Linked DNA regions of Sus scrofa. The main gene of each other region encodes a partner of the protein of the gene in region 7 in a complex. Links are inferred from orthologs where the notes say so. Each region holds a gene or a part of one and is shown on either strand. Other genes may lie near its edges.

The links.
Region 1: RBL1 (region 7) and LIN52 share a complex: the UniProt entries of both Homo sapiens proteins name them as parts of the DREAM complex. The link is inferred for Sus scrofa from reciprocal best matches to the Homo sapiens genes RBL1 and LIN52.
Region 2: RBL1 (region 7) and MYBL1 share a complex: the UniProt entries of both Homo sapiens proteins name them as parts of the DREAM complex. The link is inferred for Sus scrofa from reciprocal best matches to the Homo sapiens genes RBL1 and MYBL1.
Region 3: the proteins of RBL1 (region 7) and ARID4A are in contact, whole or in part, in a crystal structure (PDB 7SMC), measured with the Homo sapiens proteins. The link is inferred for Sus scrofa from reciprocal best matches to the Homo sapiens genes RBL1 and ARID4A. Residues at the interface, in NP_002886.2 of Homo sapiens: Tyr849, Ile850, Lys853, Val854, Thr860, Phe861, Gln862, Met865, Lys866, Arg869, Tyr879, Arg880, Asp929, Leu930, Ile931, Tyr934, Asn935, Val939, Ala946, Leu947; in NP_002883.3 of Homo sapiens: Leu957, Val958, Cys959, His960, Glu961, Val962, Asp963, Leu964, Asp965, Asp966, Leu967.
Region 4: the proteins of RBL1 (region 7) and E2F5 are in contact, whole or in part, in a crystal structure (PDB 5TUV), measured with the Homo sapiens proteins. The link is inferred for Sus scrofa from reciprocal best matches to the Homo sapiens genes RBL1 and E2F5. Residues at the interface, in NP_002886.2 of Homo sapiens: Ser1000, Ala1001, Leu1002, Leu1003, Tyr1004, Lys1005, Phe1006, Asn1007, Ile1017, Met1020, Ile1021, Gly1024, Glu1025; in NP_001942.2 of Homo sapiens: Met162, Ile190, Ala192, Pro193, Ser194, Gly195, Thr196, Gln197, Leu198, Glu199, Val200, Pro201, Ile202, Pro203, Glu204, Met205, Tyr213, Leu217.
Region 5: the proteins of RBL1 (region 7) and TFDP1 are in contact, whole or in part, in a crystal structure (PDB 5TUV), measured with the Homo sapiens proteins. The link is inferred for Sus scrofa from reciprocal best matches to the Homo sapiens genes RBL1 and TFDP1. Residues at the interface, in NP_002886.2 of Homo sapiens: Tyr1004, Phe1006, Asn1007, Ser1011, Leu1014, Ile1017, Asn1018, Ile1021; in NP_009042.1 of Homo sapiens: Pro260, Phe261, Ile262, Thr290, Phe291, Glu292, Ile293, His294, Asp295, Ile297, Glu298.
Region 6: RBL1 (region 7) and TFDP2 share a complex: the UniProt entries of both Homo sapiens proteins name them as parts of the DREAM complex. The link is inferred for Sus scrofa from reciprocal best matches to the Homo sapiens genes RBL1 and TFDP2.

What each region holds. Positions count from the first base shown.
Region 1 is NC_010449.5:97,391,528-97,395,659, reverse strand, and holds part of LIN52 (protein lin-52 homolog), read right to left. Parts: intron 2,850-4,132; coding exon 2,783-2,849; intron 533-2,782; coding exon 449-532; intron 1-448.
Region 2 is NC_010446.5:68,150,964-68,155,095, reverse strand, and holds part of MYBL1 (myb-related protein A), read right to left. Parts: intron 2,040-4,132; coding exon 1,897-2,039; intron 1,514-1,896; coding exon 1,399-1,513; intron 648-1,398; coding exon 531-647; intron 443-530; coding exon 338-442; intron 1-337. UniProt on the Homo sapiens protein: Transcription factor that specifically recognizes the sequence 5'-YAAC[GT]G-3'.
Region 3 is NC_010443.5:187,440,646-187,444,777, reverse strand, and holds part of ARID4A (AT-rich interactive domain-containing protein 4A), read right to left. Parts: coding exon 3,666-4,132; intron 3,401-3,665; coding exon 3,296-3,400; intron 1-3,295.
Region 4 is NC_010446.5:51,509,609-51,514,216, forward strand, and holds the start of E2F5 (transcription factor E2F5), read right to left. Parts: upstream 3,010-4,608; 5' UTR 2,912-3,009; coding exon 2,684-2,911; intron 1-2,683.
Region 5 is NC_010453.5:78,775,342-78,779,119, reverse strand, and holds the end of TFDP1 (transcription factor Dp-1), read right to left. Parts: intron 1,950-3,778; coding exon 1,802-1,949; 3' UTR 808-1,801; downstream 1-807. UniProt on the Homo sapiens protein: Can stimulate E2F-dependent transcription.
Region 6 is NC_010455.5:82,766,367-82,770,498, forward strand, and holds part of TFDP2 (transcription factor Dp-2), read right to left. Parts: intron 1,796-4,132; coding exon 1,644-1,795; intron 1-1,643. UniProt on the Homo sapiens protein: Can stimulate E2F-dependent transcription.
Region 7 is NC_010459.5:40,272,256-40,276,387, forward strand, and holds part of RBL1 (retinoblastoma-like protein 1), read right to left. Parts: intron 2,871-4,132; coding exon 2,737-2,870; intron 1-2,736. UniProt on the Homo sapiens protein: Key regulator of entry into cell division. Directly involved in heterochromatin formation by maintaining overall chromatin structure and, in particular, that of constitutive heterochromatin by stabilizing histone methylation.

The DNA.
Region 1 (4,132 bases), on a different chromosome or scaffold from region 7:
CCTTCCCTGGTGCTAGATCAAAGAATAATATTAATGCATGAGTGAAGCAGAGCTTTAAGATAGCAAACTAAAACTAAGAATGAGGGCATATTCCAAAGACTTCACTAAGAGTCATGAATCTAGATATACTCAAAGCTATTTCTACCCCTAGAATTTTGATTTATGTGAATAAAATCCTTCTTTTGCTTAAGATTGTTTGATTTGACATTCTATCGCTTAAAACTAAGAGTTACCAATATGCTTTCACTATACAAAGAACAATAACTTGTAATCTAGTAAACTCTGTAATTACTTTGACACTCTACTATAAAAGGCACACTTTAGATTATAGTGGCTTCTTACCTTGAGAACATCTAATAAAGATACTAAAGTTACTTTCTGAATTACACCAGAGCTCATCATTAAATATACAACATGCAACCCTGAATAAATGGATCTGGGTACTCACACTCATCCAGCCCCAACTGATAGGCTAGGTTCTGAAGGCCTCGTACCTTCTCCATCAAATTAGCTGTGGTGAGGCTCCCCAGTTCTGAAACAGAATCATTTATTTCAATACCATTTCTTTCCACTGCTTCTAGTAACAACGCATGCGGGTTGCAAATCCTTGTTATAAAAATTTCAAGCTTAATTCCTATGAAATAAGTAGAAAATGGATCCATATCTCTTCTCAACAAATCACATCACCACTACCCCCAGCACAGACGTGCACACACACAAAAACGCACAAATCAAATCAGTGAATTTTTCCACCACTGCAAAATGCCTCAGATAAGCTTACCCACTTAATGAGAAGAGAATTAACGTAAACACAACAACAAATTACATGTTTTATCCTGAGGATCTTTTTGTAACATTCATTTTGCGTATCATACAAAATGAATATATGGTTAAAATTTGAAAACTTGTGATCTGACATAGCATTGAGACAGCAAACAGACAGATCTCTGTCTCACAAAAAGGACACTATCTCAGCTGTCATTTATAAGTCCACATTACTCCAAGTGACAATAAAACACTTATTCTTTCCTATTTCTCCAGGTTTAGAAAACAGGCTAAATATTAATCCAAATTTTACCTTCAAATCAAATTCCCATAAAAAAATTTTTAATTTTACCAGATAAAAAGACAGTAAACTTAAAATTTTATCTTCCCAGATTTTCATTTAAACAGAACTTAATTCCTTTTAAGTTTAGGACATACATGAACTTGCATGAAACAGAATGCTCTGATCCCTTATCAAACTTTAAAGCTTCCTTAGAAAATACATGTTGATGGAATATTATATAAATGTCTGTTTGGAACATTAGAACAATGAACCCAAGATGCCCTTGAGACTTAATTTTTCCAGATGGAGGAAGGGCTCTGCTTTTAAGCATTTCATGCAGAACAATGAATTATTTCTGAAGTCAAATAAAGGTGTTATTTTCTCTCACTCATCATGCCATACTTATTATCTATATCTGGCATAAGTAGACTTTGTGAATCTGTTCAGCTGCTTAAATAGCTTAAGAACCCCAGATTTTTTACCTCAATTTCATTCTATTACTTCACAACCATCATGAATCTTATCACTACGAGGATGATAAAAAAAATTAAGTAAAGTAGAGCAAAATCAAGGAAAATTAATGTTTTTTAATTTAAATTTCTACTTTGTGATTTAGTCCCAAGCCATTTATCAAACAATGATATTCACTACTTACAGTATTCTCTATGGGAGAAATTGATGAGATAGAAAGAACTAAAAGACAGGTCTTAACCCACTAAGGGGTTGTCAATTAATAGTACTCATAACAATATATGACAGCAAATCCTAAATAAGGCACTTGCATTATAACAGTAAGAGACTAGCTTTAAAAGATCCGAGTTTAGGAGTTCCCATCGTGGTTCAGTGGTTAACGAATCCGACTAGGAACCATGAGGTTGCAGGTTCTACCCTGGCCTCACTCAGAGCGTTAAGGATCCGGCGTTGCCGTAAGCTGTGGTATAGGCTGCAGACGCGGCTCAGATCTGGCACTGCTGTGGCTCTGGCGGAGGCCGGCGGCTACAGCTCTGATTAGACCCCTAGCCTGGGAACTTCCATATGCTGCTGGTGCGGCCCTGGAAAACACAAAGAGACCAAAAAAAAAAAAAGTTCAGAGTTTAAATTTTAACTCTTTCTATAATAAAGCTTGGTTAACTTCTGAACCTTAGACATCATATCTAACTCACAGGGTCTTTATGAGAATTAAATAAGAAATTTTATGTGAGAGCTTATAGTTAACGTTAATTTTTTCTTTTTTTTTTTCTTTTTAGGGCCACACTCGAGGCATATGGAGGTTCCCAGGCTAGGGTTGAATCGGAGCTGCAGCTGCAGGCCTCTGCCACAGCAACGCAGGATCCGATATGAATCTGTGATCTACACCACAGCTCACAGCAATGCCAGATCCTTAACACACTGAGCGAGGCTGGGGATCGAACCCACAACTTCATGGTTCCTAGTTGGATTTGTTTCCACTGAGCCAAGATGGGAACTCCAACGCTAAGTATTATACAAAATAAAATTAACATTAAAGGAATTTAGCAGCAGAAAAAATCAGTATGGTTGGGTCTTGAATTATTTCTACACATGGAAAAGTAGAGAAAGGCATTTAGATATGAAGAACCATGAATAAGGATGGTTAAATAGGCAATTTGAAGCCAAAAATACTTGTAAGGGAATCGTGAAAGAAAAACTGGAAAGGTGGTTTGCACAGGAGCATAAAAGTCAGGTTGAAGGTTAGAGGTCACCAGCTTTGCTTACCTTTCAACATGTCAATGTCATCGCGTTCTATTTCAGCCATCCATTTGGGTGGGGAGCTAGTAATGGGCTGTCAGAAAATAAGAATACATCTATTCAGACATGTGCAATGTATAGAGATCCTACTTTTCCTTCTTTTTTTTTTTTTTGCTTTTTAGGGCCGTACCCTGGTATGTGGAAGTCCCAGGCTAGGGGTCAGATCAGAGCTACAGCTGCCAGCCTACACCAGAGCAACACAGGATCCAACCTACATCACAGCTCGTGGCAACACCGGATCCTTAATCCAATGAGCAAGGCCAGGGATTGAACCTGCATTTTCACGGATAATAGTCGGATTCATTTCCACTGCACCACGACGGAAACTCTCTACTCTTCTTTCTTGTAAGAAAAGGAGGTTGTCACACAGTCCTCAGGTTGTTTGAAAATACCAGCAAGTTATAATTTCAAAGAACCAGATTTCTCCAGATTCAGCTCTGACCTACAAATAGAACCCTTACAAAATAATACTACTGATCTTTAAAAGCTGGTTTTAAAGTAATGATCTTGAAAGATTTAGGTCTGAATACTGTTACTAGTGTACGAAAAATAGGTAAGTAGAGCCATGAAAGAAATTATTTGAGGAGTTCCCGTCGTGGCTCAGTGGTTAACAAATCCGACTAGGAACCATGAGGTTGCAGGTTCCATCCCTGGCCTTGCTCAGTGGGTTAAGGATCCAGCGTTGCCCTGAGCTGTGCTATAGGTCACAGACGCAGCTCGGATCCCTCGTTGCCGTGGCTCTGGCGGAGGCCGGCGGCTACAGCTCTGATTGGACCCCTAGCCTGGGAACCCCTATATGCCATGGGAGCGGCCCAAGAAATGGCAAAAAGACAACAACAAAAAAAAGTTTCTCTGCCAGTCAGTGCTTTTAACTTTAGGTACAAATGCCTCTAAATATGGTATAATGAGCATAGACGCTAGTAAGTAGACTAAGAGGTTCAAAGCCTGGTTTTGCCATTTGTAGCCTATAATCTTGAGTAACCTACTTAACCTCTTTATGTCTATTTCCTTCTCTGTAAAATAGGGATAATAATAGTACCTATAGCTCATACGGTTTTGTGAAGATTAAATAATGTATGTAAAGTATATAGCTTATAGTACACATTATGTATATGCTGACTAATATTATAATCATCATATTTTCCTGCTTTCCATATTTTCCAAGAATATACAGGAGGTATTCTAGGAATATACATCTAGCATAATGCCTGCTGCCCGGGAAGTGGAAAAGCTATGGCTTTAAAAATGCCTTCCTTTGGTCTCTGACAAGCCACTGAGAAATTTCAAAATCCTCTAGGGAGGTATAAGTTAAGGTCA
Region 2 (4,132 bases), on a different chromosome or scaffold from region 7:
TGTAGGCCGTCGGCTACGGCTCCAATTCGATCCCTAGCCTGGGAACTTCCATATACCACGGATGCAACCCCGAAAAGACCAAAAAAAAAAGAACTACCATTTTTTGACATCATTCATAAGAGAGCTAACTCCTCTCAAAACAAAACAAATATAAAAAGCAAGGACGTAAATAAAATATTCTCTACAGTTAGCAGTTTCTCTCTGAATTAGGCAGAATAATTAATACTAAAAGGAACCTTCTATGAATCTCTAATGAACTAACCACACAATGAGTAAAACAGAAGAAGCACCAGTACTTAAAGCAACTGTCTTAATAAAAGAAAAATTCCTTACAAACCTGAACGTCTGAAATGTCTTCAGTTAATAGTTGAGTACCTGGTTCTTCTTTTTCCCAATTATCTAAGACTAGTGACTTTCTCACTTTCTTTACAGAAGCAGTATGCTAGAATGAATAATTTACAGAAGGAACATTATGGCAAGGTCACTTGAACAGGATAAGGCTTTCATTAACAATACTACTAAAAGATTACCTCTTGTTTGCAGCTTTTATAAGCAGGTTCATCTTCCTCTTTGAGGAATATGTCTGTTCCAGTTTCTTCTTTTAAAACTTCCCGAATATCTTCTTCCAAGAAGGCAAGTGGCTGTGACTAAAGTATTTTTAAAAGGGTTTTAAAAAAAGTCTTTTATAGCAATTCCTTTTTCTCCCCATATATAGAAACCCATCTTTTATACTTTTTCATTCTTGCCATAATTTTCTCCCAGTCCCTATAGATACATAAACTGAATATATTAACTAATTCATTCTATGGCAAAAATAATATTGCTCATTGGAAGCACTGAATGAAGTATGGTAATTTCTTCACATTTAGGGCACTAAACAAAAATCTTCCTTTGGGGAAACTACTATATCTCCTGCTTCAATCAGGAGCCTCAGAATTACACAGAAAAGAGACTCTTTCCCCAAGTATTTTTATATAAAAGTAGGACATATAGAACAAATTGGGACTACACTAGCTCTCCTTATTCTATTATTATATAGTGTGTAATTACCAGCTGACACATTTCTCTTACCACTAAATGCATGATCTACATAAGAGCAGTGATTACATCTTTTTGTGTATACATCTCTGCACACCTAGCCTTAAGTTCAGAGCTGGGACACAGGGTTCAAGAAGTGTGTATATCACACAACAGGTTAAGTAGGAATTCAAAACAAGCAAAGGTTTATTTGCAAGGAAAAGACTGACACAAATTAAAACTCAGAAATCAAGAGATAAAATTTTCTAAATCCAGTTCAGTGAACATCTTTTTAAAAACACTAAGAACTAAAGATAAAAATCAAAATGTATATTTTATTAAATATAGGAAAATTCTAATAAATAAAAGGAGCATACTTACCACAATTTTAAGAGGTCCATATTTTTTCTCCTGAGCAGCAAGTGCATTCTTAAAAGGAGTAGGAGTTCTTGGTGTGGTTCCCAATATAGATCTTCTAATAGTAGGTGTTCTAAACCTATGCAATCATTCAGATATTTGTGTTATCATTAAAATTTGATTTCAGATGAGTTAAGGAAGGCAAAAAGGCATACACCAAATTTTTCTTGCATATACACAATCTTTATATAAACATTCCAAGACTATTTTAAAGTATGCCTGCCTAAACTAATACTTATTCCAATCAATCATCCTAAAATAGAAAAAAGACTAATGTAGGAAAAAAAGTACTAAAAAAGTGGTCAAAGTTTTACACTACATTTAGCTGGGTTTTGGTCTCCTGGGGATAAAATTTAAGGTTATGATATGTTAAAAATTCTAAGTCTCATATGGACAAGAAATTGTATTTCTTGAAATTATGCTTCCCATTTTCTCTAACACGACTATTTAATATCTACTTACCCTACATTTTCCTTTTGATCTTTGGGGGTTGTTTCTTTATGAAGAGGCATTGTAATGAGAACTTTCTGCCCACAAATAGGAGTTGATGTGAATGAAGGATTTTCTATATTAATTTGTTCATTTCCAGGACATGTGTTGAAAAACTAAAAAGGGAAAAGAGTTTAAAGACAATTTCTAAAATTGTCAGAACCCTACAAAAATATTAAACTGATAATATTTCCAAATTACTTCTCCATTCCTTTTAGGAAAGGATCAACAATACCACATTTACATTCTACCCTATAGAAATTAAGCTCCATGAAAGCACAAATATTTGTTTTGTTCACCACTGCCTCCCCAACTCTTAGAAAAGTTTTAACACGTAGTAGGCATTCAAGAAAAAGCCATTCAACAGATATTCACAAGTTACAAAACAGGACAAGAAATTTTCCACACATTGTATCTTACCAAATAGGAATCTACAGAAACCATAAACAGCTGTAAGTTATGTACAACAGTGTAACTGAAAAAAACATGTTTTACTATTTTGTTAATAAATGATCTTAAGTGTTCCTTTCTATGAGAATATTTAGAACTCACAATATAATAATCTACTAATAAGAAATACAGTTGTCTGCCTATTTAGAACACAGCTCAGAACCTTTGAGGAACTAAAACTGGCATCACGGAGTCCATTTTCCAAATGATACAATTTATCCACTGGATCTTAACTTACATACAACTGTGAAATATTTATTGTTGTAGCCAACAGATTAGAAGCAGGGGTAGGAAAAAGTGGAAAGTGCTTTAAGGCTAGAGTGGATTCTAGCTTTACCACTTTTGGCTCCTAATACTGCAATATACTTAATCCTAAGATTAGCAATCAAACCCTCTTAAAACACTGCAGTGATGCCCATAAATCATAGGATAAAATCCAAACTCTTTGCTATGGGATATAAAGTCCTTATAATCATGCCTCACCTTCTCTGCCATTTTCCACCTTAGAATTTACTTTTCAACAAAAATTACAGGTGTGCAAAACTTCAAAAATAGAAAATTGCTAGTGTGCTCAAGCCCGGTTCACCTTCCTCAGAATACTTTGTAGATCTGAGGGTGAAGCTAGAGGACACACTACTTACATTACAGCCCATGTAAATGGCACTTTCTGAAGCACAAGGGGTGCAGTCTTCAGAGAACACAGTGTACTGACTGCCAGATCCTCATCTTACCAGCATCAAAATATACCTCCAATAGGAGTTCCTGGGGTGGCGCAGTGGAAGCGAATCTGACTAGTAACCATGAGGTTGCGGGTTCAATCCCTGACCTCGCTCAGTGGGTTAAGGATCCAGCATTGCCGAGAGCTATGATGTAGGTTGCAGACGTGGCTCTGATTCTGCGTTGCTGTGGCTGTGGTGTAGGCTGGTGGCAACAGCTCTGATTAGACCCCTAGCCTGGGAACCTCCATATGCTGAGGGTGCAGCCCTAAAAAGCAAAGCAAAGAAAAAAAAAAAACAAAATATACCTCCAATAATACCCCACCATCCTCCAAGTTTATCTCACCATTACTTTTTCTTCTTCTCCCATAAAAATTTTTAACCCCTGTCAAGACACTTTCAGCAAATATCAGCTTCATCTCTTTCTTACTAACTGACCTTGGACAAATTTCTTAACTTCTGAATTTCATTCTACCTACCTCCTAAGGTTTTTTGAAACAGGATTAACTGAGATACTATTAGAAAATTGTTCGGCACATAGCCTGAAACATAGTATAAAAGATATAGTTTGTCTCATTATAAACATCTGCTGCTCGGGGATAAAACTACAGGAGAGGGAGTTCCCACTGTGGCTCAGCAGGTTAAGAACTCAACACAGTGTCCATTAGGATGCAGGTTCGATCCCTGACCTTACTGAGTGGGTTAAGGATCCTGCATTGTTGTAAGCTGTGGTGTAGGTCACAGATTCAGATCTGGCATTGCTGTCCCTGTGATATAGGCCTGAGCTGCAGCTCCAATTCAACCCCTAGCCCAGGAACTTCCATATGCTGCAGGTACGACGACCTTAAAAAGAAAAAAAAAAAAAAAAAACACAAAAAAAAACTATGGGAGAAAGCAGGTAGCTTCTGACAAACCCAGATGATCTTCTTTCAAGAGACATGAAATTCTTACAGGGAACAGCTGTCTAAGGATATACACCTAATATCTGCTCAACAGTCAGGAAACTGGCTCAGCTTTGCCATAAGATTTTACCTTTCTGGGCC
Region 3 (4,132 bases), on a different chromosome or scaffold from region 7:
CAGATGTGTAATGAAACATGACCAGATTATTTGTTTGCAACTTTACATCTCTCCTCCCAAACCTGTACTTAGAGATGCTCTTGGTTTTCACTTAATAACAAATTAGACTTTTCTCTCAGTTTCAGCTCCTTTTTCCCAAATTCTACACCCTACTTCCACCCTCTTCAGCCACTCTAAACAGCACACTCTGCCTCATACTAAAAAGGCCAAGTTGAGAGTTATACACCAGTTTCCCAGCTCCTCCCCTGCCGTCTTTGTCCTTATCACCCTTTTTGGCCTCAAAAAGAGACTGGTAATTCTGGGCAAACGACCTTCTTCAACTGTACTCTTGACACCATTTACTCCCAGCTCCTCTGGAATATCCCAATGTCATTCTGCCTTTTCTTATTTTCCCAGAATCTATGAACATGCTTAATCAAGCTTTCCCACTGGAAAGGGGGAGGAAAGGAGAGGTGAACCACCCCCTTCAACCTGGCTCTTTCCTTCTCTTTAGGGTCAAATTTCCCGAAAGAAAAATTCTTTGTTATCCTGATTTCATGTCTTCTAATCATTTGTCTCCTTGCTCTTGTTAGGGCCCCTGATACTTTCTGTTCACCAAATTCAATGAGTATATTTTAATCCTACTTGAATATTCCACTGCATTTGAAATGCCTTTCTTATTCAAACCAACTATTGTTTACTGATTTTCATTTATCTCTAATTAGCTTCTACTCCACTCTTCCTGGCCCAATTAAAGGGATATGCCACATAATTCTACTTGTTCCTTTTTCTTCTCGTTTTACAAATCTCCCACAGCAGCTTTATCATCTTGTAAATCCGTTGACAACTATCTTCGAAAAAACTATCTTCTTACTTTCTTCTAAGCTCCAGACTCTTATTTTCCCAATACTGGGTAGCTCTAAATGTTTAACATTCCCTAAACTACTCTTCTAACAACCTGCTGCTTCTCCTGTGTGCCATGTGTCAGTTAACTAATTTCTCATAATCTAACTAATAATTCAGTCCTAGTGATTTTATGTCCCAATTCTCTTTAATTCATTCCTTCTTTTACTGCCTTAGTTAAGCCAACGATTCTTTCCAGAAAACGAAACTAGTCATCTCCTTTCTTTTTTCCTTTTTAATCTTTTCAACTTGCTATTTTGAGACAATCTTCAAACTTACAAAAAAGATGAACAGTCACCAAAGAATGTTTTCTTGTCATTTGAGGGTAAGTTGCCCGCCACATTTGGGTATTTATAATGTTTATTTCTTACAAATAAGAACATTCTCCTTGTGTTAGTTATCTAGACATTAGCCCAAACCTTAGCAGTTCAAAACTACAAATGTCTAATATCGCACACAGTTTCTGAGGGTCGGAATCTGGGCATAGCATGGCTGTGTGGTCTGGCTCAGGGACTCTTGTGAAGTTGCAGTCATGCTTTAAGCCAAGGCTCTGGTCTCTGAAGGCTTGACTGGAGCTGAAGGATATGCTTCCAGGACGGCTCACTCAGATGGCATTAGTGCATGTCAGGAGGCTTCAGATCCATGCTGCCTGCTGGCATGACATGCTCAGCTGCTTACCATGTGGGCCTCTCCATGGACTGCTTGAGTGTCCTCACAATATGGCAGCTAAGTTCCCCCAGAGCAAGGGGATCCAACAGAGAGCAGAGAAGAATCTGCAGTGCCTTTTATGACCTATTCTCTGAAGTCATACTCCATCACGTCCGCTTTATTTTATTAGTTAGAAATGAGTCCCTAAATTCAGCCCACACTCAAGAGGAAGGAATTAGGCTTTGCCTCTTGAAGGAAAGAGTATCAATACATTTGTGGATATGTTTTTAAAACCACCACATTCCTAAAGAACTATAATACAACTGTCAAAGTCAGAAAATTAAAACAGACATATTACCATCATCTACTCCTCAGATTCCATATAAGTTTCTCTACTTGACCTGATGCCTTTAGAGCAACAGGATCCAGGTGAGAATTACTACTGCATTTAGTTATCATGCCTCATAAATCTCCTTCAGTCTGGAACAGTTCCTCTTTCTTTAACTTTCATGGCCTTGACAATTTTATTTTGTCAAGTTATTTTATGGAATATCCTTCAGTTTGAATTTGTTGCTGGTTCCTCATGATTACAGTCAGGTTATGCATCTTTGACAGGAATATTACAGATGTGCAACTATGTTCTTCTTGTTGCATCCTGTCAGGTGGTACACGATTTCGCTCTGTCCCTTACTGGTGGTGTTCACTTCATTTGACTCAGATGGTGTCCGCCTGGCTCATCCACTGTAAAGTTATTTATTTTCCCTTTGCAAGTCTTGCTGTCTTTCTGTCTCATCTCTCTTTTCACTCTTTTTCTATACTGTTGACCTGGACTGTCCAGCCCCTAGCCATATCTGGCCGCTGAGGACTTGAAATATGGCTCCAAGGTTTTTCTTTGAAATGCTTTTTATCTTAAATAAATCATATGCTCCTTCCTTAGAATATTTATCTTCTATAATCTAGAATTTCCCTTTCAGACTTATATGAAGGCATGTTTTGGAAGTAAAATTTTACTTTGTCAAAATCAACCATGTTTATTTCTACTATATTCTACAACATAATTATATTCTTTATAGTATAGAAATCTGTTTTTCATGTAATCTATTTGTATTGATTTACTAATTTTCTTGTTTGTTTCAGTAAGAATCTTCTTTATTTTTCCATATTTTATTTTATTTTTTTTTCTTTTTCAGGGGGACATTCATGGCATATGGAGGTTCCCAGGCTACAGCTGCCAGCCTACACCACAGCCACACTAACTTGGGATTCAAGCCACGTCTGCAACCCTGCACCATAGCTCACGGCAATGCTGGATCCTTAACCCACTGAGCAAGGCCAGGGATCGAACCCGCAACCTCATGATTCCTAGTTGGATTCATTTCCACTGTGCCATGATGGGAACTCCAATTTTTCCATATTTTAAAGTTAGTGTGACATTATTTAGAAATTAGTTTTTCTGGATTAAAGGAAAATATTCCATCCAGAAATATAAACTTAATGTTTTTACTACCACAGCAAATGTTATTTTTCTTTTATTCAAGATTCCTAAATACATTCCTCTAATATTAAACTGCTTTAAAAATAACTGCTATAAAAAATAACTGCAACTATCCCAGCTCTAAAGAAAAGCGACCAGCACCTTCAGATTAAAAACTAATGGAAAAATGGCTATTTTCAGAATATAAAAAACAAATTTTTTTAAAGACCAAGCCAACAAACTGTTGAAAATACTAATACCATATTAAAGCCAATACTGAAAAGCACCAACCTGCTCCATTCTTTTCATTTTTGGCTACAGCATTTGTTCGCTTTGGGGTTCGCTTCTGCTTTTTTGCCAGCAATCCACTAGTTCCATCGCTTGGTCTTTTCTGACCTGAAATAAAAGGAAAGAGAGAATTAGGGGGGAAAAAAAAATCAAGAGCAAGTATATTCATTCGCCTGTCTGCTTGACATGAATTTCCATGTATATGTTTTGAAAAAGCGGGGAGGGAGGGAGGGAAGGGGAGGAAGAAAGAGAGGGAGGGAGAGAGGGTAGAAGGAAGGAAAAGTACTTAGCAGATCAACAATTCCTAAAACACTTAGCTTACTAATTTTTGAATTTAATATAAAGGCTGATTTTCTCCCTAGGAAGTCCTTACCCTTCTCCCTGCTCTCTCTTTCTTGAACAATTATACTACAGGTACCAGAGGCAACACTGGTTTCAAATCCATTGGCTGATTCCCTCTCACAGAGACCTTCTTGAGATTCTTCAGCAATACTATCAACTTCAATGGTTACGTCACTCTCACTTTTTATACTTCGAGACTCATCTTGGCTGAGAGTAAGTGGTGAAGCTACTGAGAAGTTATGCTGTACTACAGGAGGTAGGGCAGGCGGAACAGAAACAAGAGAGTTAGACTCAGAGCTTTCCACTGCTACGTCCTCAATGCTGGTCTTATCTTTTTCATCCAAATCATCCAAATCTACTTCATGGCAAACCAAGGTTTCAGGCCCAATCAGAGGCATTGCATCCTCTTCTTCTTTTAGTGGAATATTTACAGTTTCTTCAGCTGGACTATCAGATTTTTCCTTAGTCAATTCTTGAACACACTGGTTTGACTCTGCT
Region 4 (4,608 bases), on a different chromosome or scaffold from region 7:
GTAACTCAAAAGTATCAATAACTTAGGCTGAAATACACCACCCCTAAGTAAGAATTTAAGAAAAAATGTGATTTTATCATTTCAAATTAGAGAAACTTTACAATGATCAGTCCGTCCATCTTCAACATGTATTGTCAAAAGTCTTAATGGTCTTTTACTATGGTGCACAATAAGAAAACATCATTGGAAAGATTTCAGTATAAGATTTTTGCAATATAAGATTTTATTATGTACAAACATATGTAAATAAATGAAATATATATTTGTATATATGTGAAAAAGAATGAAAAACTGGTCTCATTTACTGGACTGAAGTAAAAAAATCATTAATACAATGAGACCTAATATTACTGCAGAAACCTCTGAACTTTTAGGAAAATTCCAGGATGAATGAAACAATGTTATCAGGAAATATTAAACTTTACTTCCCACTCACTGCCTCTGTAAACTTCTGGACAGCAAAATCTGGCCACAGATGAAACAGGAGGAAGCCAAAGATTTAGGGGAAAGCAAGGACAAATTTCCATCATATTCCAAGGCAAGCTGTGAGAAAAGCTCTCAAAAGTCAGCCCCTCAGAATTCAGTTGCATCTGGAAAACCCCAAACTTCCCTGATTCTTTATTGGAGTCACAGGCTTTTTTTTTTTTTTTTTTTGGTTGCACCCATAGCATGTAGAAGTTCCCGGGGCAGGGGTCAAACCCACGCTACAGCAGTGACCCAAGCCTCAGCAGCAACAACACCAGATCTTGAACCCACTGAACCACAAGGGAACTCCCTGAATTTTAGCCTTTTTTTTTTTTTTTTTTGGTCTTTTTATCTTTTATGCATCTGCAGCATATGGAGGTTCCCAGGTTAGGGGTACAAATAGGAACTGCAGCCACCGGCCTACCCCAGAGCCACAGCAACATGGGATCCAAGCTGCATCTGCCACCTACACCACAGCTCACATCAACACTGGATCCTTAACCTAATTAATCCACTGAGCAAGGCCAGGGATCCAACCCTTGACCTCATGGAAACTAGTCGGATCTCCTAACCCCTGATCTACGATGGGAACTCCCTAGATTTTCAAATAGTAGTTTGCAAGGTAGGTTTGGAAACATCCCTGTCTTTCAAAGATGACCTCATGACTTCCTATGAAATTCTTTAAACAAAAATCCATTTTAGTTCACAATTTAAATACATACATGTCATAAAGCACTTTAAGGGAGAGAGGGAAGGAGAGGGAGTGGGGAAAAAAAGAAAACAAGTATTTCTAAAAGTGCAGGAAAATTTCAGGAGTAATACTTCAAAAAAAATAGTAGAAACTTTTCCCCAAATGCAAAATATGTGCATCGTGCCTTATTTGTATGAAGTAGAACAATTTCGGTAATTCAGGAGTCATTTACGCAACACTTACTACACCCAGGGAAAGGAGAGGACATTCAAAGACATACCTCACCTCCCAGACTGTCCTCAGATGAGAACCTCTAGCAAAGGACATCAAATTGGCCTCTGTGAGTCTTAGTCTCAGGTCAAGGAGTACTAGAAGATGCTGTCCTACTCAGACGGTGCTTCTGTTACCCTAAGCATAGCCTTGAGGATTGCAGTCATCCTCTCAAGCTAGGTACGGTGGTCCTGGCACTTCCATAGGTGCTGGGACCAATTCTCAGTGTTAACCCCAGATTTAGGGGTAGTGCCTAGGAGGCGTCTACAGTAATTACTGATTCATTAGTAATTTTTGTTTGTTTTTAAAGCTTTAGTTTTTACTTAAACATGGTGCGCTGGTTGAATTTTAATTCAAGGGATCACATCTCTTGTTTCTCAGCGCTATGGAATCCTTCCAAACCCTGACTGGAACGGTTAGGTCATTTTATTTAACGGAACGGCTTTTGATGTATGTTGTGGTTTGAAAATTCCGAACTCAACTGCAGTAAAAGATCTCATGAAATAGGAGTTTGCTGAGCGCTTCTCCTTGCATCAAAGTTATAAAACATCCCCTTTCCGTGTGACGGCAAATCTCATTTTTAGAAATCTATATCAGATCCTTCTAAGTCACAAATCAAATACCCCTCTTAGTCACCAAAATGATAAAAAGAAATATACAAGGAAGAAGTTTTTTCTTTTAATTACTACCATTATTTTAACAGGGAGGGCTATGAAGAGTTCACTTTATTTTGTTTCATCCAGGAGAGGTGGCAAAACTGGGTTTTGTTTGCTTATTTGCTGGCTTGTTTAAACAACTTGATCACGGTCTAAGCTAGAATCGCCTATTAAAACCAACAATGCCCAACAGGAAAAAATCAATCCCGACGGTGTCCTGGGCAAAGCGCCCAGATACCCTCTGTGCCTCTGCCACAGGTGGACGCGGAGCAGCAAGGGCACTCAGTCGTCCTCGGGTCTCCGCGCCCCGAGACAGAAGCCACGCGCGCGCGCTGGAGCTCCTGGGCTCTTTGTCGAGAGCCCGGCGCGGCGCCGGGCCCCATTGGTTAAGCGGCTGGTCCGGGCCATCCTGGTCCCTCGTCCCTCCCCCCCATCCCGAAGTCCAGGGCCTGGGCGCAGGCCACGTGGCCACTGCGCTCAGGTCGTGAGATCCCCGCGCGGAGCGTTCACACCACGTCCCCCGACCCACGCGGCAAGGGGATGGGCTTCTCCCCCGGCCGCAGGATCTGAAGTCCGCCCCCTCCCCGCCTCCTACGCTCACCGCTTTGAGATCCAGGACGCCGTCCTTGGCCTCCTGCAGCAGCGACACGAACTTGGTGGTAAGCAGCCCCAGGCTCTTCTCGTGCCTGCTGCTGCCGCCCCCGCCGCCCCCGAGTGGCTGCTGCGGGGGTGGGGGCTGCGCCTGGGACGGCGGCGGCTGCGGCCGCTGGCCCTGCCCTTGGCCCTCCGGTGCCGGCTGCCCAGAGCTTGCGGGCTCGGCCGCCGCCATCGCGTCCCCGCACCGCAGTGGTGCGGACCTCGCGCTCGGCCACCTGCCGGGTCTGCTCCGGGCCACCTCTATCGCCGCCCCTGCAGCCGCCGCCGGCCGAGGGCGGGACGAAGGGTTGCGGGCGCTTGCAAACAACAGGTGCGCGGGGCCCACCGGCCTCTGGGCCGCTCGGCTTGCCGGGCCTCCGCCCCCTCCCCGAGCCCTGGACCCAAGAAGGAAGCCCACGACTGAGGGGAGGGGGAGTGGAAGCGAGGAGAAGGGGCGGCGAGGGGTGGGGACCTGAGTTTAAATGGCAGGAAGTGACGCCGCGGCCCGCCGTTGCTTGGAAACGCATTTTTCTGTAGGAAGGAGGGGAGAGCAGAAGGGAGCGTCGAGGAGTGGGTTTCAGCTCGCCTCTCTGCTGTTGGAGTGCCACCCCCAGGACCAGCGACCTCCCGCTACAACGCTTGGAGGAAAAAAATGAAACGAAAACACTCTGCTTGGTGGCCATCGATTTCTGACCTGCTGGATCTCTACAACCTCACGGGACTAGCCGTCCGCTGAATACCTTCATTGGGGATTTCTGCTGTCTTGGTCCTTTCCAACTTTAGAATCCTTTGCAAGTATTTCAATGCCTCTGATCAAGTGCAAGGTTTTATTCCGATCATCTTTTTAGATTCGGGATATGGGAAAAGCAGAATAATGGAGCAGTATAGGTAGAGGTACTGAGGTGTAGAGGGAGAGGCTGTGACTCGCCCAAAGACTCGCCACTGGACTCCAGATTTCCTTCATTTAAAATTGTTCTTAATACCGTATTGCAACCAAGCTATGTAGTATTATTTAGAATATTAGGCAGTCGTAAGATTTTTATGTTTTTTGATAGCCCAAACTATCAAAATGAGAAATGAGATAACGCAGATCTGAGTAAAAGTTTTTTTCTCATTCGATTACACACTCTTGAGGGTTGGGAGAAATTCTAAATAAATTGGTATCACACGCAACACTTTTAATATAGTAGATGCCCAATAAATATTAGGGGAATGAAAATTCCATATGATGATAATTCATCAAGAAAGTCTCATGCAAGACATATTTCTAATTTAAAATAACAGTAAACTAGCAAAAAAGGGTCACTGGAATGAAGTAAAACAGTAACATTAGAGAGTAAAATTGGACACACCATTTAAGTTTAATATTTGTTTCCAATTCATAGGACAGAACTTTATGAATAACCAGATAGACTTTTTTTTTTTTTTTCTCCTCTTCACCAGGGGCATATGGAAGTTCCCAAGCTAGGGGTCTAATTGGAGCTGCAGCTGCCAGCCTATGACACAGCAACACTGGATCCAAGCTTGGACTGTGACCTATGCCACAGCTCACAGCAGCGCCAGACCCTTTAACCTGCTAAGCAATGCCAGGGATCTAACCCTCATCCTCATGGATACTAGTTGGGTTCCTAACCTGCTGAGCCATAATGGGAACTCCCTAAAAACGTGTGTTTGTCTGTGTCTTTGCTTGGGCTAGTGTAACGAAAATACCATAGACAGTGTCCGTTAAACAACAGAAATTTTATTTTCTCACAGTTCTGGAGGCAGGAAGTTCAAGATCAGGGTGCCAGAATAATCAGGTTCTAGTGAGGGCTCTCTTCCTGGCTTGCAGATGGCCACCTTCTCTCTGTCTTCACATGGCGAAGAGTGCAAGCAAGCCCAATAATGTCT
Region 5 (3,778 bases), on a different chromosome or scaffold from region 7:
GGACCAGCTGCCTGCTAGGAAAAGAGGGGCGATGAGCATCAGGGCCTCCGCCTGCCTGAGGTGCCCCCCAGCACTGGGACTCCCCCAACAACAGGCCCACGGTCACATGTCGCTAGAGCCCTTTGCCGGGGGCCTAGGTCCCCCCACCCACCCCCCGCCGCCCCGAGTGTGATTTTGGCAGGACCCACCCAGCAGACGCAGTGGAGAGATCAGGGAACCCGCGGAAGCAGGTGCAGCTGTGCCCTCCCCCACCCCCACAGCCCCCGGGACCCCACCCGGAAGAAGGGGAGCGCTGCCACGTGCTGGGGGACACCCGCCTGCTGCAGCCTCCAGCCGTTCCCCGAAACATTCACCCACTGACCCGCGTGCCTGAAGAAAACACTGACCCCCAGCTCGCCTTACAACCTCCCCCTTTCCGAAAATCAAACCCAAAGAATGTCTCCACTTTCGGGATCCAGCAGAAAGGCCCAGCGGCCTGGCCTGGTTTACACCGCAGGTGCATCACCTGCGAGGGCCTCCAGGGCCACCTTCCCCGTGGTGCTTTTAGGGGACCCGTTTGCGAAGCTCGCAGTTTATGGGGACTAAAACGTTAAAGCGGTCAGTGCTGTTCTTCTAAAAACAAGCAAGGAGCAAAGGCTCCCGCCGCTGGCGTGTCCAGGCCCTCCTTCCTCAGCCTCGCCCAGGCAGCAGCAGGACGAGCCGCAGGCCGCAGAGGGGCTGTGGTGGCCGAGGGGCCTGGAACCTCTCCCCCGTCCAGCGGATCAAGTGAGCTCTAGACAGTAACCCTGAGTCAGGACACACAGCATGTTTCAAATTCCCATGCGCGTTTTATTAATAAAAACTAACAGTGCCAAGTTAAACAAGTCAAACAATTAAAGTCTCTTTATTCCACAAAATATTACAGAAAAGTTTATTTGTGTTCCAATAAAAAGACTATTATTTTAGAACAGGCAGCTAACAGCAACTGTGCAGTTAATGGTTCTTGGTGAATAAATTTTAAAAGAGACTACTGCCTGTCCTGAAATTCCTTTTTCTTTTTATAAAAAAAGAACTATTAAAAATGATTGACAAATTTCGAGTTAAAAAACTGTTAAAACATTCTCTATATTTAATTTCAACTTTATAATAGATTACAGGAAGATGCTTACGAAACAAATACAACATTTGTTTCAGTACATGTCTTTAAATGATAGACTTATAAGTATGTAAACAACTATATAATAAAAAGTTTCCAAATGCTGCCTGTAAGAAATCAGGCAAATTTTACCATAAGCAATAAACCATTCCAAGCTTTCAGTTTCTATAGCTGCACCAGCATGGCAGTAAACTTTTTTCCAAACAAAACAAAACAAAACAAAACAAAAACAAAGAACTCTGCAAACCGCTGCAACACAGAGTGAAAACAAAGTATAAACCTGACGGGGTCACACAGTCAATATAATTTAAGGGAAACGAAGTCGCAATCAAACGTCAAGGGCCAGAGCTTGGCCGTCGGCGCGGCCCGCAGCCCGGGCGCTGCGTCGGGCCGGCCGGGCAGGAGGGTCTCGGCCTGGTCGACGTCAACGAGCACTAGCTCCTCAGCAAACTCAGCAAGGGGCGAAATCAACTCTGAATTAAAAACAGCAAAGGAAAACACAGACTCTCAAGGGGTGGGCGAGGCCGCGACGGCTCGCCAGGACCCCACGGAGACGGCGCCGCAGGACCCGCAGCTCCCGGGCCGCTGGGGGAGCAGAAGGACAGAAACAGCCGAGGCAAAGCTCCTCTTCCCCAGACGCGCCTGCGGCGCCCGCCGCGGCACGGCTCAGTCCTCCTCCTCGTTCTCGTTGAAGTCGTCCTCGTCCTCGTCATCCTCCCCGACGTACGACACGGGCGTCTCCACCCTGGAGCCACTGTACTGTGACCCGCTGGAGCTCGTGGCCAGCGTCCCATCCGCGCCGTTGGCCAGGTCGCTGCAAGGACAGGAGGCGTCAGCGTCTGCAGCACAGACACCAGCATTTCGGGGAGGTTTGGGTTTGGTCAAGGAGGCCAACAGAGACGGGACGTCACAGAAGCCAGGACTCCGTGGCCGGCTTCACCCCTTCTCGGCCCCTTCGATGCGCCACAACCAAAACCAGGGCAGCCTCGGCCCCAGGATTTGGTCCTGTCCCCGCTCATTGCACATCAGAGCCAACCCGGTGCACAAACCCAGAGACCTGAGGTCCTCCTTCCAGGCCTCTGTCTGTGACCTTGCCAAGCCCCAGCCCTGGGACGGGGGGCAGGAAAGGGCCCCGGGGGGCAGCGTGTGCCCCTGAGCCTGTGTGTACACGCCCACGTGCCAGCATGTGGAAACGACTGAGCCCAGGGGGCCGAGCGGGATGGGAGGGTCTCTGTCAGATGCTCTGCCTCCTGCCCCTCCAGGAAGGGCTCCAAGGGACCCCAGTCCTCGCAGCTCCATGGAGTGTGCTGCCTGATGCCCGGCGGGGCTGGCCCTGGGCGGGGACCACGGGCGCTGGTGGCAGCCTCATCTGGGACCAGTGATCATCTTAGGTTGTCGCAGCCAGCTGCGGGGGTGCTACCATCTAGGCCAAGGGCCCTTGGGCAAGACCCCGGCTGAGAACGGAGAAGGTTTTAGGAGCCGGGGTCCTGGTCCGAGACCCCCGGCTTCGGTGGCCACCAGCAAGCCAGCACAGGTCCAAGAGGAAGGGTCTGTCGTGGGCAGTCACAGCCCGCGCCCACCGTGCTGGAGGGGACTGGGGCCATTTCCTCCCCGTGCTCTGACGGCACAGGGCCAGGCACCCGTCTCAGTATCTCACAGCAAGGAAAAGGATGCTAACGAGAAACGCCAGGTGCTGAGGGGCGCCGACCGAGGGGTAAAACTCGGCAGAGGCCGTCCAGATTCCAGACACGGGGCCATCTGGGCACCCTCCCTGCCACCAGCATGAGGCCTTCCCTGCTTCCTCGGGTGGGACTTGGTCAGTCAGCAGTGAGCCTGGTTAAACATCACTGCTTCCAGGAGTTCCCATCGTGGCTCAGTGGAAACAAATCTGACTGGTAACCAAGAGGACGCAGGTTTGATCCCTGGCCTCGCTCAGTGGGTTAAGGATCCAGTGTTGCCCTGAGCTGTGGTGAGGGTCGCAGACAAGGTTCCAGATCTGGGGTGGCTATGGCTGTGGTGGAGGCTGGCAGCTGCAGCTCCGATTGGACCCCTAGCCTGGGAACTTCCATATGCTGCAGGTGCGGCCCTAAAAGACAAACAAAAACATCACTGCTTCCTCAGATGGGACTTAGTCCGCAGTGAGCCTGGTTAAAGACGACAGGACAGAAATGCTCGGGAAACGCAGTCTCTTGCGCCTGCCAGAGCTCGCTCAGTGGGAAACTGGGGTGTGGTCGCGCAGCTAAGCCCCTGCCCTCGGGACCCAGGCCCGTGGCCCCCACAGGATCTGCAGGCAGCGCCTCCAAGTACCTAACATTATGAATGTTCTTCTCACCATAAACGAAGCGAAAAGACATCCCACGGAATGGCAGAAGACATCCACAAACGAAGCAACTGAGAAGTAATTAATCTCTAAAACATACAAACACCTCCTGTAGCCCAACGTCAAAAAACACGATCAAAAATGGGCCGAAGATCTAAACAGACATTTCTCCAAGGGAGACCCACGGATGCCCAAAAACACACGAAGGTGCTCCCATCACTGATGATTCGAGAAAAATGCCAATCGAAACTACCAGGAGGGTCACCTCACACCAGCCAGAAGGGCCGTCATCGAAGTCTACCCGCAAGAAACGCGGGAGCGGG
Region 6 (4,132 bases), on a different chromosome or scaffold from region 7:
GGGCTGTGCCTCTGTGATCACTGAGCCTTCTTTTGCTCTCAAATTATATGCTGACTCCTTGGGACAGCAGCACTTGCCTTGAGTCAGACCTCTTAGAGGCATCATCTTATTTAAGCATCATGGCAGCCACCGAAGTGATGAGACACCCTTGGACGGTCCCCATTAGTTCTTAGGAAAACAGCTTGGAGCAGTTAAATGGGGGAGCCACAATCCATACTTGGATCTGTCTCACTCCGCACCCTATGCCCTGAACTAACTCGATAATGGTCACAGCCTGAAGACCACTACTGTCTTCATGAAGAGTAAAATAAATTACAAATTCTGTAATTTGAAAACTGCTACTGCTTACCTAGTATGATAAACAGTAGCAGCAATCTTAGTTAAAATGAAAATCATACTGGTGGGAATGTAAACTGGTCCAACTGCTCGGGAAAACAGTATGGAGGTTCCTCAAAAAATTAAAATGACCCAGCAATCCCACCTCTGGGTATGTATCTGAAGGAAATCACAATCCTGAGCAGATAACCTGCATTCCCATGTTTACTGCCTACAGCATCATTTCCAACAGCCGAGGCATGGAAACAATCTGTGTCCACCATCAGATGAATGGATAAAGAAAATGTGGGGTATACACACAATGGGTCATTCAGCCATAAAAAAAGAAGGAAATCCTGCCATTTGCAACAACATGGATGCCCCTTGAGAGTATTACGCTAAGTGAGACAAAAAGAGAAAAACAAATAGTGTACGATCTCATAAGTGGAATCTTAAAAAAACAAAAACTAAAACCAAAACCAAACTCAGGAGTTCCCATCGTGGCGCAGTGGTTAACGAATCCGACTAGGAACCATGAGGTTGTGGGTTCGATCCCTGCCTTTGCTCAGTGGGTTAAAAGATCTGGCGTTGCCGTGAGCTGTGGTGTAGGTTGCAGACGTGGCTCGGATCCCGCGTTGCTGTGGCTCTGGCATAGGCTGGCAGCTACAGCTCCGATTAGACCCCTAGCCTGGGAACCTCCATGTGCCACGGGAGTGGCCCTAGAAAAGACCAAAAAAAACAAACAAACAAACAAACAAAAAAAACAAAACCAAACTCACAGATGCAGAGAACAGACTGGTAACCTGCCAGACATGGGGGGTGAGTGAAATGAATGAAGATGGTCAAAAGGTACAGACTTCACAGGATGAGATAAATAAGAAAGAAAGCAGAGAACACATCTAGCATTTTCACATCTGTTCGTTCATCATAAAGAGAAGCACACTCAACTCTGACACAGCAAAGGAAAACAACTGCTTTAGTGCAGCATTGATCTAAACCATTCTCAGCATCAACTACGACAGTGAATCACCAGCGAACCTACCTGAGTGATGCTCTACTTTACCTGCCCAGAGTTACACCACCTACATGTACATACATGGGCACCACCATGCATATGACAAAGGCAGCACAGGGCCAGGCCCAAGAGAGGGGGTTGCGGAGGGTGAATGACAGAGCAAGCACTAGCAGGTGACGGCACCCCATGTCTGCAAAGCCGTTTCATATGCCTTGAGGAAGTCAGCCTTGGAGCACAACCCTCTTAATTTTGCAATTGTTCGGCATAACGTTAGAAGGTGAGCCCTGCACTCTGCTGCTCGTTCCCCACTTACTTGTCACTGGAGATGCTGCAATCTATGACTGTTTTTCTGCTTGTGTTGATGATTATAAACGGCAGCTGGATGGTGGAGTTCAGAGCTGGAGGGCCCTGGTTCTGCTGTTCATTTTGCCGATTTCTCTGTACCAGGTTTTTGAAAGCAATTTGCTGTGATGATCAATAAAAACATACATTTAGTCATTTCATGTGGATAAAGGAGGTGGAACTAAATGGATTATGATGAATACGCTTAAAATATAGTTTAAAATGAGAGCATTTAAAGAGGCCTTTCACCTCTGGGTTAATTAAAATTAAATATTTAAGAAGAAAGATTAGAACGATCCAACTCAATAAATTTCAAGGGAAAAATATACTCTTAAATGGTGTCTAACGTATCCTAATGTAAATAATAGGGCCCATGGCTTCCACCACCCACTAAAGCAGGATCTTACAGATCTGGGAGAAGCCAGTGCACCCACAACTCATAGAGTGAGTAATACAGAGAAAGTGACACCAAGTGGACTTGTTTTCATTTATCTAACACAGACTCCTGAGAGCTTAGCATGAAATACACTTCTTAGATTGTCTAGCCCAGAAATATGCAAATTTTATAAAGCCACAGAACCCTTTCTTCAAATGACATCTTCTGGGACAGCCACTATTTATATAACAGATGAAAGCAGCATTGCTCTGGCTGGATGCATGGGACTGAGTCCTGAGCCCTAAGCCCCAACAGGTCTGCCCTCACCTGAGATCCTTCACAGAACTTCTAAGCATCCTGAGGGCAGAGTCTGGAACCTGGCCCAACCTCTGCCCACCTGACATCTTCCAGATGAGGAAACTGATTCTAAGATATACCAAGGCCTGAATCTTTACACTGAATCTCGCTACTTTTAGTTATAACCATTACTCATAAGGCATAGAAAGTGACCCCCGCCTCCCCTTTTTCTTACTAGGGCTGCACCCGCAGCATATGGAAGTTCCCAGGCTAGGGGTCGAATCAGAGCTGCAGCTGCCAGCGTATGCCCCAGCCACATCAAACCTGAGCTGCATCTTCGACTTACATGCAAGTTGTGGCAATGCAGGATCCTTAATCCACTAAGTAGGGCCAAGAAGTGAACCTGCACCCTCATGGGTACTAGTCAGGTTCTTAACCCCCTGAGCCACAAAAGGAATTCCTACCACAGCCCCCCCACTGTTTTCCATTTGGGGACCACAAGGTAAAACTTTCAAGGCAGACTTGGTTCCACCCAACCAGCACATGATGAAACCCTCATCTAAAACCTTCATCCAAGAGGGCACTGTCCGCCCCAAAAGTCACCTCAGAGGCCAGACCCTTCCTTCTAACGATGCCACTGTAGTCGCAGATCATTTGGAACTGCTCCCCCAAGCAACTGTGTGGAATGCTTGTCTGGGGCAGTTCACCGTCTGCCTACAAGACCATTGTCAGGATTTTGAGGCCATAGCTTCCTCTGGCACAAAACGACATTTCAATGTAATCATTGTAATAGATGGCAAAAAAAGTCACAGTTCTCTCTTTGCTCCTACATCCCTACCATTTGATTTGTAATTTGCTTTGGCCAATGGGATGTTGGCAGAAATAATGCACAGGCTTGAAAATGGACTTGCACACAGAAATTTCTTTCTCTCTATGGCTCTGCCATCAACATGAAACTATGGCCCAGTTAGCTTAAGAGGAGCTACTGTCCACAAGGCAGGAAGGGTAGGCAGTGAATTCCCCCTGGACCCTCTGCAGAGGGCAGATGTAGGGCCAGCCTGCAGGGTGCGAGCCCCCAGTCCCTGGGGCCCACTGTCAGACCAAAAGAAGATGCAAGGTCATTTCCAGGGCGAGGTCTCAGGGGACGAGGGAACTACATCTCCATGACCTGGTCCCTACTACCGCTTTTTAAATAAGGCAGAACCCACAGTTACAAAAACCTTAGGCAACTGAAGTCTTTGATCTGCTCATAGAACGGATACTAGTTTTAAAAACTAAAGTTGGAATCTTTCTTCGGCTTGCTCCATCTTCTCCCCCAGCAGTGATGAGTTTATTTTCTACATTTCAATAGCCTTATTCTAAGGTGGTTTATTTTAGGTTCTGGGCCTTACTGAAGTTTGGTTACAATTATTATTTTTAAATGGCTGGGTGCTATCTCCCTGGAAAGTAAACATTTACTTTTTGAAAATGCACGAAACAGAAGGGACACCAGTATATTCTAGGCCTAAAAGTGTGTCCAAAAGTCACTACCCAAAACCATCACTGTCGATACCATTCATTACCAAACATTACTTGGGTCCTATGTGTTATTTTCTGCTGCTAATGAACTAAGACTATTTCATATTCAATACTTCCTTCACTTAATATGGAGAAAAAATATGCTGAACCTGTAAAACTGGGGAAATGAATTGTATGTTTGAATACTTCTGCTCTCTTCTAGAAAAAGCATCTCAGAGACGCCCCTATATTTTGCCTAGCTTTGTGGTCCTAGTGCCATTGGGAGGGGG
Region 7 (4,132 bases):
AGCTGCAGCAATCCTGTTGCACCACAGCAGGAATTCCACAGAAACTCCTAAAGTTTGGAAAATTGTTTACACTTAATTATTTTTCAATTTGTAGAAACCAAAATTGTTCTGGGAAGCTGAACATTAGTGACTTTCCAAATTTAGATCTCTCCATTTCTGTTTTGTATTCAAATAGTTCCATAAGAATACTAGAGCAAGTAAAAGCTATAGCTAAGACCCACCAATTGCTTACTATTTGCAAGGGATAAATATTAACCATACACTAGAGAAACAGGATAACATCTTCAGCAGATGATCAAAATTAACATCAGAGGTAGAACATCTCATTAACAATGAGAGGTAGAAGGATATCATGTACCTCTAAGATATGAATACTAAGGACACAAAAGCACTTATGCAGTTTTCCATCTGGGAATGTAAAACTTGCATCTAAGCATAAAGAAACATGAAATAAATCCAAAGCGAGGAACAATCTATTAAAAAGCGGGGGCAGGGTGGTTGTGAACTATACTCCTCAAAAATATCAACGTCATAAAAGATAAAGGCTGTGGAAATGTTCCTCATTAAAGAAGACTGAAGAGACACAGTAAGTGAATGCATTACCTGATACTAGAATGGAATTTTTTTTTTTTTTTAATTTTTAAGGAAAAAAAAAAAAATCCTGGAGTTCCCGTCATGGTGCAGTGGTTAACAAATCCGACTAGGAACCATGAGGTCGCAGTTCGATCCCTGGCCTTGCTCAGTGGGTTAAGGATCTGGCGTTGCTGTGAGCTGTGGTGTGGGTCGCAGATTTGGCTTGGATCTCGAATTGCTGTGGTTCTGGCATAGGCCGGCGGCTACAGCTCTGATTAGACACATAGCCTGGGAACCTCCATATGCCGCAGGAGTGGCTCAAGAAAAGGCAAAAGGCAAAAAAAAAAAAAAATCCTATAAAGAATGTTACTAGGAGCTCCCGTTGTGTCACAGTGGAAACAAACCTGACTAGTATCCATGAAGACAAGGGTTTGATCCCTGGTATCACTCAGTGGCTTAAGGATCTGGTATTGCCATGAGCTGTAATGGAGGTCGCAGCTGCAGCTCAGATCCTAAGTTGCTGTGGTTGTGGCATAGGCTGGCAGCTGCAGCTCTGATTCTACCCCTAGTCTGGGAACTTCCATATGCCATGAGTGAGGCCCTAAAACGCAAAAAAAAAAAAAAAAAAAAAAGTTACTGGGAGTTCTCGCTGTAGGGAGGTGGGTTAATGATCTGGTTTATCTCTGTGGTGTTGCCAGTTTGATCCCTGGCAGGCTGCAGTTGTGGCACAGGTCACAGATGTGGCTTGGACTCGATTCCTGGCCCAGGAAACCACGGGTACAGCAAACAAAGGGGAAGAAAAAGAATATTACTGGGAGTTCCCGTCATTGCTCAGTGGTTAACAAATCCGACTAAGAACCATGAGGTTGCGGGTTCGGTCCCTGGCCTTGCTCAGTGGGTTAAAGATCCAGTGTTGCCGTGAGCTGTGGTGTAGGTTGCAGACGTGGCTCAGATCCCACGTTGTTGTGGCTGTGGTGTAGGCCGACGGCTACAGCTCTGATTAGACCCCTAGCCTGCGAACCTTCATATGCCGCAGGAGCAGCCCTAGAAAAGGCAAAAAGACAAAAAAAAAAAAAAAAAAAAAAAAAAGAATATTATTGGAGGAATTCCCTGGTAGCCCAGTAGTTAAGGATTTGTCTTTGTCACTGCTGTGGCTCAAATTTGATGCCTGGCCCAGAAACTTCCATATACTGCAGATGCAGCAAAAAAAAAAAAAGATACTGGATCAACTAAAAAAACTGGAATAGAGATGGTGGATTATATATTATTACATCAATGTTAACTTTGTTGAAGTTGATAACTGTACTATAGTTATTTAAGGAAACACACGCTGAAATATTTATGGATAAAAGGCTATAGTAGACACTACTTAAATTGAAATAGTTGAGGAAAAATACTATTTAAGAGAAAAAGATCAAATGATTTAGCAAGTAAGGTAAAATGTCAATAAAAGGTGAATCCCGGTCAAGCATATATATATGGATATTCTTTGTAGTTTTATTTTTGCAACTTTTCTGGAAGCTTAAATTATTCTCAAATTTAAAGTATTAATGAAAGAATTACAGATAAAAAAGATTTTTTTTGTCTTTTCTGGGGCCACTCCTGAGGCATATGGAGGTTCCCAGGCTAGGGGTCTAATTGGAGCTGTAGCCGCTGGCCTACACCCAGCCACAGAAATGCCAGATCCAAGCTGCGTCTGCGACCTACACCACAGCTCACAGCAACACCAGATCCTTAACCCACTGAGCAAGGCCAGGGATCCAACCCACAACCTCAGGGTTCCTAGTCGGATTCGTTAACCACTGAGCCACGACGGGAACTCCAAAAAAGATTTAGAAGAGAGGTCTCTGAAGTTAGAATTTGAGGAAGAGGAGTTTTCATTGTGGTGCAGCAGAAACGAATCCTCCTGTGGCATAGGCTGGCATCTGTAACTCCAATTTGACCCCTAGCCTGGGAACCTTCATTAGCCACGGGTCTGGCCCTAAAAAGCAAAATAAATAAATAAATTTGAGGATGAGGAAGAAAGGCCGAGGAAGAATATGAGAACTGGGAAAAGATATCCATATGATAAGCTTAGAATGGAATGAAGTTAAATAATTTAAAATAAAGAGAAATTAAATCTAGGACTTATAAAGCAGTATTTAAAAAGTCAAAGTGCTTTACCTTAATTTAGCTGAACGTAGTATTCTGGTAAGTGAAACACAATTTCCTTCCATGATACCCTTTCCAACCGTGGGAATAATGCTTTTGCGGCATGCAACATATAATGAACATGCCAACCAGTGTATAACTTCTCCCTGACAGGCAAAAGACAAACAGTAAAATGCATATATTATGTTAAAATGCCTGACTTCTAGAACCAAGAGAGATCTTAGAATTATTTGGTCTAATTTTCATCCTGTATTAACAGGCCAGAGAACTGAAGATATTCGCCCAAGATCAAAATGTTTAGTTAACTGCAGTAATGGGTATAAAACTCCTTACACTATGTTCTACATAACACACTAAACTCATTACTAATCGAAAGAAAGATCTCTCACCTATATCCCAAATCTGACATTATTGAAAGAGTTCTCTTAAAATTTCTCAGCATTAGCTTTCTCGATTTTATAACACCAGTCATGGCCTTGATGATGCTGAAGTTCCTTTCTACCATTTTAATCCGTTTGGCAGAAAAAGGAAGAGCAGAAAGTTCGTAAGGGAATTACACATAAAGAAATTAAATACACATAAAAGAACATGTGGCTCAGGGGAAACAAACCCAACTAGTAACCATGAGGATGTGGGTTAGATCCATGGCCTCACTCAGTGAGTTAAGGATCTGGCTTTGCTGCAAGCTGTGATGTAGTTCCAAGATTCAGCTTGGATGGGGTGCTGCTGTGGCTGCAGCTCCGATTCGATCCCTAGCCTGGGAACTTCCATATGCTGTGGGTGCAGCCCTAAAAAGACAAAAAAAAGAAAGAAAAGAAATAGTATGGCTATCTTAGCAGATATTTCAATTTACAATGTTACAAAAAAAAGATGACATTTGGGAATTTAACATCTAATTCTCTGCTTTATTTTTATTTATTTATTTTTTGGTTGTGCCCGAGGCATGTGGAAATTCCTAGGCCAGGGAGTGAACCATGCCACAGCAACAACCCAAGCCTGCTGCAGTGACAACACTGGATCCTCAATTCACTGGTCACAAGAAAACTCCTAATTCTCTGCTTTAGAGTTGAGATATCCAAGCTAGACTTTATGACCTCATTGTTAAGCTTTACATGAAATAAGGATTAAGAACTAGACATAAATCTCATAGCACAACATAATACTGTTATGCAGATTCTTTAAGATCAGACTCTAGGGAGTTCCCTGATGGTTACTGCTTTCACTGCTGTGGCCCAGGTTCAACTCCTGGTCTGGGAACTAAGATCCCACATCGAGCTGCTACATGCTACGGCCAAAAAAAAAGAGACCAGACGCTAAAAGAATAAAATGACTACTAAAAAGATTTCCTGGAGTTCCCGTCGTGGCTCAGTGGTTAACGAATCCGACTAAGAACCATGAGGTTGCGGGT